Bombyx mori: one gene and its partner. The protein of the gene in region 2 purifies or fractionates together with the protein of the main gene of each other region. This does not show direct contact. Links are inferred from orthologs where the notes say so. Each region holds a gene or a part of one and is shown on either strand. Other genes may lie near its edges.

Evidence for each region.
Region 1: the proteins of NCK-interacting protein with SH3 domain (region 2) and gem-associated protein 2 purify together in Homo sapiens (co-immunoprecipitation; 3 studies listed by BioGRID and IntAct, counting the BioPlex papers as one, with this or other methods). This does not show direct contact. The link is inferred for Bombyx mori from reciprocal best matches to the Homo sapiens genes NCKIPSD and GEMIN2.

What each region holds. Positions count from the first base shown.
Region 1 is NC_085111.1:13,069,311-13,073,876, reverse strand, and holds the start of gem-associated protein 2, read right to left. Parts: upstream 2,925-4,566; 5' UTR 2,676-2,924; coding exon 2,448-2,675; intron 1,390-2,447; coding exon 1,077-1,389; intron 464-1,076; coding exon 364-463; intron 52-363; coding exon 1-51. Other genes in the region: probable RNA helicase armi, read left to right, coding at 4,439-4,566. UniProt on the Homo sapiens protein: The SMN complex catalyzes the assembly of small nuclear ribonucleoproteins (snRNPs), the building blocks of the spliceosome, and thereby plays an important role in the splicing of cellular pre-mRNAs.
Region 2 is NC_085116.1:6,564,403-6,568,238, forward strand, and holds part of NCK-interacting protein with SH3 domain, read right to left. Parts: intron 3,776-3,836; coding exon 3,653-3,775; intron 2,609-3,652; coding exon 2,203-2,608; intron 2,001-2,202; coding exon of another isoform or gene 1,834-2,000; exon of another isoform or gene 1,775-1,833; coding exon of another isoform or gene 1,701-1,774; exon of another isoform or gene 13-1,700; intron 1-12. UniProt on the Homo sapiens protein: Has an important role in stress fiber formation induced by active diaphanous protein homolog 1 (DRF1). Induces microspike formation, in vivo. In vitro, stimulates N-WASP-induced ARP2/3 complex activation in the absence of CDC42.

The DNA of each region.
Region 1 (4,566 bases), on a different chromosome or scaffold from region 2:
AAAGGTGTTGCTGCAGTAATAGCATTTTCTTCATCAGGGTTTAGCCTAAACCTGTAATTATAATTTCCATAAGTGGATGCAATCAACCATTTTTAAATAAGAAAATGAAAAATCAAATTTCTTGTCATCATCATCAACCTATAGCAGTTTACTGCTGGACATAGGCCTATCCAATTGCACACCACAGCATGATTGTAGGCTTCTCTCACCCGGATCTTACCAGCTACCCTGTATAGGTAGTAAAAGCCCTTGTTAAATAATTGAAAAATTTCACACTGCCACTTTTCACAATCTTTGTTACATTTGTTTATGATTCAGCTGTGGTCACCTGCTGTAAATAACAATAGGTGTTATTATATTTACCTTATTTCAGCACACTTTCGAGCTAAATTTCTTAGAATACTTGTTGTATCAGACAATAGAGGTAGTTGGGTACAGGCCAAAAACGCATATACCCATTGACCTGAAAATGAAAAGGCCACCCAATAAAAACTTCTTCTGTATGCATCTGAACAATTTGTACTAAAAAAAAATGGTTTGTAAAACACAATGTATTCTATAAATAAGTTTAAAAATTGATATATATTAATTTGACAGGTAGGTTGGGTGGTTACGAAATCTCTGCTTTAAAAGTGGATTTTTGGGAGAGCTGATATGTGATTTCCTTACAAAGCGTTCACTAATCATCCTTACCCCAATTACAAATTTACTATTATCTTGATTTTATTCTCTTCATATAAAGCTCACTTGTTGTTACAAAATCTTGTATAATTTTGTATAAAGTTAAAGTAAAGACAAAATGCTATGATCGAATCAAAATTATGGAACACATAAAGAATAGTGGCAGAATGTATGCTGTATGAATAATTTGGTTTGCTGAGAGTAACAAAACAGGTTAAGTTTTCTCTTTACAAAAGAGCTGTACTTAATCAATAGGAAGATGATAGAGAAAACTTCAATATAAAATCCACAAACTTTGTTATTGAGAATGACATGAAGAAGTTCAAATCCATTTAAATTTAATTAACGGCTCTTAATCATCTTCTGAACATGTACAGTGTAAAGTAATGACTTACCTGTTTTATGTTCTATAGTATTACCAGGTTTCGTTCTACTAATAATATCAGTAAGTACTTCTAAACCTTGGTCTAGTAATGCATGTTGTAATCCGAGCACGCATGATAATGTTGGAATATGGGTACTGAAGAACTGTTTCCATTCAATTACACAGGTTGGTTTTATTTCTATAATATTAATATTGTTTTTCCATATTTTCCTTTTTGACAGCAAACGAGATATGTACATTCGAGTTTCTGAGAAATCTGCTACTTGCATGTTTTGCCACTCAATTGTAGGTTTTAACTTCTCAGGTACTGATAGCCTCGGGAACTAAAAAGACATTTCCATTAGACATCTATTCAAATTACAATAACATTACTAAGCCACCAAATTATTAAAACTATATTCTTAAAATCTGTTATGTATTATTTCACAGATTTAACGAATGATCTTGAGACCACCCATCAAAAACCATCAGTGACTAATAACTATAAATTAATTCTGCTGTAATTGCAGTTTGCTTTCTACGAATAGTGCAGATCATAAATTAATAACAGGATATACAATTTTGTGAGCTGATTATTAACTTTTTTATTTTTACAAAATGACTTTTATGGTCATGATCATTGAATAATTTTGTGTAGCCCATTTTTTGTGTAGACATCTTGCAGACATTTTAGACATTTTGTGTAGACATCTTAAGACTGTATTCGGGCATCAGGAATGAATCATTTATGAATATGTCCCAAGGTATGAATCTATTAAGATAAAATATCAGTGTATTTATTGTTTTACTTATATTTTACAAATTACTATTGTGAATGTTTTGAATTATAATTTACAAATATATTTTTAGTACTACCTACTATGCCTGAATGAATAAGATTAGTACAGTCATATTAATAAACATAAAAAAGGGACATCAATTAATTAATTATTCTTGATTTAGTACACATTAAAAATCTTTAATTATTCTTATCAGTGCCAATAATGAAAATTATGTATAAAATGACATCTCAGCTGCATTTTGCACAGTTAAGTGAGCTTAACTCTGTGTATTGAAAATTAATTAATACAAATTTATTATTTTAATTATATCATATAGAACCAGGTTTGATAGTTGAAATCAAACTCGGTTTGGTGAAAAAAGGTGACCTAAACATTAAAATTAGATTGATGCAGATAATGATTTTAAAAATGTTTTACAACTTTAGCTACTGGTGCAGATATTTAGAACAATGCGGAAATGTACCCAACCTTTTCCATAGTTACATCAGATGCAGATATTACACCAGAAATTCGTTTCAAAATCATTGGCATCATGGTTACATGAATGTAAATTTTGTTAATCAATCATTTTTAAAATCATTTTTCAGAACTTCACTGACCTCATGCACATACTGAGACTGATTTTCGGCAAACTTTGAATAATCTTTGTTGCATTTCGTAACTGCTGCAATGTTTTTACGCTCCTTTATGACTTTAAGTAAATATTCTTCACCGTTCGTTGGAACCTCTTTTAATTGCACATCAGGACTTATTTTGAAGCACGGTGATACTATATCCAAATTATCTTCATCATCCTTCATTGTTTTCAAGTACTTTTTCAATGACATCTTTTTCACTAAATTACAGCTTTGAGATATTATAACATTAACAATTCATAGTACATATATATGTAATGACTAATAAATAATACTTTTGTTTTGTCTATTTAGGCAGTCAAAAGAAATATAGCCCGTACAGCAATATTCATAGTTATTAACACTTATTATTTGGACAATATTTTTCTATAATTTCATTCTTGTGATCGGAAACGCGGTTTTATTAGTGATTGGTGTACGGTGACAGCACTGACAGCTGTTGGAATGTTGATCACAGATTATTAATAAATAGTTACTAATGTTGATTTCATAGAGTTAGTGTTGTAGGTACTTATTAACTCCATGGTTGATTTATAAAATCGGGCTTTTTTATCACGTAAATGTAGATTGTGGCAGTAGTGTGCAGATTCGAAAAGATAGCATTTTTGAAGTGAAACTTCTAATGCGATTTTCAACAAGGTTGCGTTAAACGTTTAAACTTTAACGCTACCATATCAGAGAAAGAATTTTTTTTAGGCGAATTTATGACCTCGTAACTAAGACCTTTAGGTCAAGTCTTATTTTTAATTTTAATGATACGTACCTTTTTATATGAAAATGATATTATGAAATGAAATGAAGTTGATTATTATGAAACATAGCATGAAATGTAATGAAAACGAAAAAAATGAAATGAGATGAGATGATATGGGATGAAGTATAAACTCAGTAAAATGGTGGTCATTTACTGAGACTTTTTCAGTGGACTTTTTGGAAGATAACGAGAAGTTGTTGGAAGGTTGTGATGCTGTCCACGTATAATTGTCTATGATGCATTATATTTGAATTTGTATTATGTTCCTTTTACTTTTGATGTGCGGTGTCATTCTGAATTAAATTTTCTCTTATACAAGTCAACACAATGTTTTCAAGTATTTAATTTACGTTTTAATTAATTGCTATAGCCGCTAGTCCATCCACCCTATCAGAAGTTACGTTCAGCGGCTTTGTTTCATTTTCCTACATTTATGCACTTTCACAGATACTAAACAGTTAATAAACCACAGTTATTGCACATTTCATTTTTCATAAAAATATAAATAAATAACAATGAAAATTAAATAAGTCAAGGCTTAAAGGTCTTAGTTACCAGGTCATAAAATCTCTTAAAATAATAATAAAAAAAGTATTGTAAGTACAAATTAGTACAAAAGTTAAAATTCGTTTGTGTTGTAAAGAGGTTTAAATATACGGTTGGTTCCTTTTATGTAGCGATTAACATAGATAGGTATTAATACACATAATACGCGAATTTATGAGGAAAGGATTTGTAGTATTTTGTACTAGTAATGTCTACATCTAGCAATCTTTCACAATCTACCTATTCCTCATCTGAAGCAGAAACTCCGCAAGTATGTATGCTATTTATTGATAATGAAATTATTGTAGTGATGTCGTTAAAAATTATAAAATATCTTATTGATGCTTCCAATCCTAGAAATATTTTTTTTCCTTAATAATAAATAAAAAACTCGTGTTATAGGTAACAACACAAAACAGAATACCAAATTTTGATCAATCATTAAACCATGTCCACCTTGGTCACAGCATAGAGCAATCTAAACACTGTGAAAAGAAAGAAATGCATCAAAAAAGAATACAGACTTTGAGAAAGGAACTTGAATATATTAAGTCAACAGAATGGGAATTTGAATATGATAAAGGATTTGCGCAATAAAAACTCGCTGCCATCAATTTAATTTTCATTAAATAGTTATTGTTGAAGTAAAAGAAAAATGTTTTCATACATGTCTACATTATTTAAATATTTATTTTCTAAAAACTCTGAAGAAGATGACAATGAAAAAGAAGATTTTTTAGCAGAACAACTGTTGGATCTGGAAATAATTAATGAAACTCAAAA
Region 2 (3,836 bases):
TCTCCGTTTCAGAAGAGAAACTGATTCAGCAAGGAACGTGAACTCTCAAGGATCTTAATTTTTTTTAAATATGTTTATAATTTATAAATTAATAATTGAAATACTTCATAAGAACTAAATTGATGCCAATTTTGTTTTAAAATAGGTTGTTTAGTTCTTATAGTTATAGTATTACGTTTGAATAGTTGTAATTAGTAAGTTAGTAATATATGAAAATACTGATATAAATTTTTGTAAATAACCTTTTGTAAATTCTACGAGAAGATGATTTTAATTAATGATCAAAAGTCAACGGTCTTCAAAAGCATTATTTGCAATTATTTAGATTAACTGTGGAATATATTTGCTAAGTTGTGTTTTCTGTATGAGCAGATATAAATGAAAATGCCCAAACATGATTATGTTTCTTACATTTTCATTATGTGAAATCAATATGCTTGTGACTGAGTATATTAATAATTTATTAAAACTTAAGTGATAGACAGCAACCCCTATGGCACTGCTGAAGTTTATAAGCACTGGTGACCACTTATCATGAGCCGGGTTGCGTGCTCGTCTGCTGTTGAGTGCAATAAAAATTTTCGAAACCCTTTCTATTATTTAGATGTAATATTAATGTACATTTAATTTGGATTAAAAGATAAATTTACATTTTATGTTTGCATGTGTATGTTTATAATTCATTTGCATGTAACGAACATCAGTTTCTTTTGTAACAAAATGCAAACTAATGGTTTGTAATGAATGTAATTAACTTTAAGATGATTTTCTTTCAATCTGCTGTTTGTTTCATCTAGTATTACCAAAGCTAAAGCATCAGAAACGTCAGAATAGAAATAATTTAGATAGGGAATAAAAGTATAACTAATGTAATCATGTCTAAGATTACTATAAGCGTCATTAAGTACAAACTATCAATATTTAAGAGTACTTTAAATCATCATTACATTTTTTAAACATTTTTTGTTTTTTTTTTTTTGTTTTTCAAATCATGTAACAAAACGTTTGTGCAGAATAAAATGTCACATGTTATGAACATGATAGTGGGTTAATCGTTTCTTAAATTTCTAAATGTTTATAAGAATGCTAAGAATAATTTAGTATTCACTTTAGTGTGTGTATTATCTCTACAATGCTAGTTTAAATGACAATTATTGTATGACGAAGCATAGGTAGTGTTTATAAATGTAATATTTTCATACAAGGTCATGATCTGTCACGATCAACTTTAAGCAAGAACTGCTATCGTTAAGAAACAAATTTATTAAATTTAATTCAAATTGTCTACTATGTTTGTAATGGAAAGCTGACATGTTTATATTTCGCACAAATGACTTAATTGACATTGAATGATTTGATTATCTAGACTTAATTAACTTTTAGATAACTTTCGATTTAATGTGTACGCTAGTAGGATTAATCTAGAGGAGTTATTGTTATTCGAAATTTTATACAATTGTACGTTCATACAATCTTTTAACAGAAAATTGTTTGTAATATAGGGAAATTAAATAGCTTACAGAGAATTACAGCTTTTTATTTTAAAAAACTGTTTTCTCTCTGTATGAAAAGATCTTATCGATTAGAATGCTGAACACAATCAAACATTCCTTAATATCTCATAAGTACTACCGGGAATTTCAGCGATTCTAAACGATAAGATTTTTTCATAAAGAGAGTTATTAAAAATATTAAAATTACTAAAAAAGCCACCTGGTGGGGGGTAGGGAGACTAATAATCGACCGTAGCGACGCCTGCTGGACCGGGCTTTAACTAAAGCAAAAATAAAAATGAGAGTTGCGCATCTATCTCTAATATATTAAGTGTATAATCTATGATTCTAGGGATGTCGTATCGACTATAAAAGCATTGCAGAAATGACACGAAGGCAGCACGCCGTGCCCCCGTACAACGGGTACAACGACCCCTCTTGCTTGCTTGCTTGCACGAAGGCAGTTAGTAATCGGATCTACTCGAAGCGAAACAGCGAACAGATCACCTGAAGCGAAGCGGAAGAAGTCTAAGTGTTTAATAGAGTTTTAATTTGTACTTCGGTGGAAGTTTTATTTATCCCGAACCCCAGCGCGTAACAATATGATTAACAAAGTATACCCTATTATGCAGAATGAGATTAATTCTTTTTATACACATACATAATTCATCTGTATCTTTTTGTTTTATATTGAATTAAGCCACTTTACCTTCACGATTGAGTAACAAGAGCACTTTCTCACAGAATGTTTTGGCCATGTCCCTTGTTTCCAATGCATTCAACAATATGTTGTCGAATGGGTTCTCAAACTGCAAGTTGTAGGCCAAAAGGAGAGTTGAAAACAAATCAGGTATCTGTTCATCGACATCGGTTTCCGGTGGATCTTCAAGCAACTCCAGCAAAAATTGTGCAAATTCAAGGCCGAGCTGCTCGAAATGTGTGACCGGAAGTTTGTCTCCCATAGATAGAACCATGGAGAGTAGCAGAGCGGAGTGAGAGAGACGGCTGACGGCCCTAGGGTTGTCGCGCATGTCTCGAGCAATCTCCGCCGGTAACGATGACAGCGCCAATGTTGCTAGGGCTGTACGCTCTAGGCCGCACATTATACCAAATGCCTGAAAAAGCGTATGACCATTAAGCGAATATTCAAGTTTTCTTTATCCTAACCAGGAGGGCGCTCTTAATTATTCGTGATAAAATATTTTTAGGTTCGAATATACTTAACAAATCTTATCCAAACTAAGTCGGTTTCTAAGCAGTGTGCTTAGTGCGAGTTTTTTAACGTTTAAGTGTAAAGTTAAAGCTAAAGTTAACTCAAATTTGTATGGAGTTGGAACGTTTGCCTACGTTTGGCGCTAGGGGTGCTGTTCCAACTGCATTCAAATTTGAGTTAACTTTTACGATATCGAGAACGTTAAAAAACTCGCACTAAGCACACAGGAGTCAAATTCAAGCAAAGCCAAAATAGATATAATCTGTTTTGTTGGAAAAAGGAATCATACAACATTGATGCAAAAAATCCTACAGCAGAAATTGAGTATCTCCACCTTATTTTTATTTGAAGTTGTTTAAAAAGTAGGAAGTAAATTCGGAATGCCTCCAAAACTACGTAAAAAATTAACTTTTGACTTTTTATTTAAGTAGTTAATTACAAGCACTTTTCCATATTAGAATACAGTTTCATCACTTAGAATAATCCAAAACAAGCTCAGGTCTTGCTTATTCCCAATGAATTGAAATCCGTACTATGTAAATTGAACACTGGTTTAAAATGAATATTTAAATGAATTATGACTGGAATTAAGCCAAGATCTTTTACTGAGCACTAACTAAAACTGTCTTATATTTATAATTTATAAAAATATGAAATTCTTTTTAAGCTTCTGTATTTTTTAAAGTATCGTGCTATTTTTCATGCTTTTAACATCCTCAGACATACATATCTCAGTGTAACTATGTAATACTCATACTATTATACATCGTACAATGATGCATTAATGGATAAGTTTCTGGGAGACAACATAAGAAGACTTTGCAATTGTCCTAATATTTATAATGAATGTTATTGTTTTCTGTTGTTATCATAAATGGGTGTATTTAATGTTTTCATTTTACTAGTCAGTTACATTAGAAGAATCACAAAACATATCATTGGTTACCTGTAACAGTAGCTGACGTAGGGGCCACCGAGTTTCCATCTGATAATACTGTACCAAAGTTGTCACATAAACATATCGATGACTGCTCAACACATGTTGGGATATGTTGACATCAGCATTTGACTGAAACGATATATTTTATTATTACGTAAAGTAGTATATAAGACTCATCCATATGCAACTT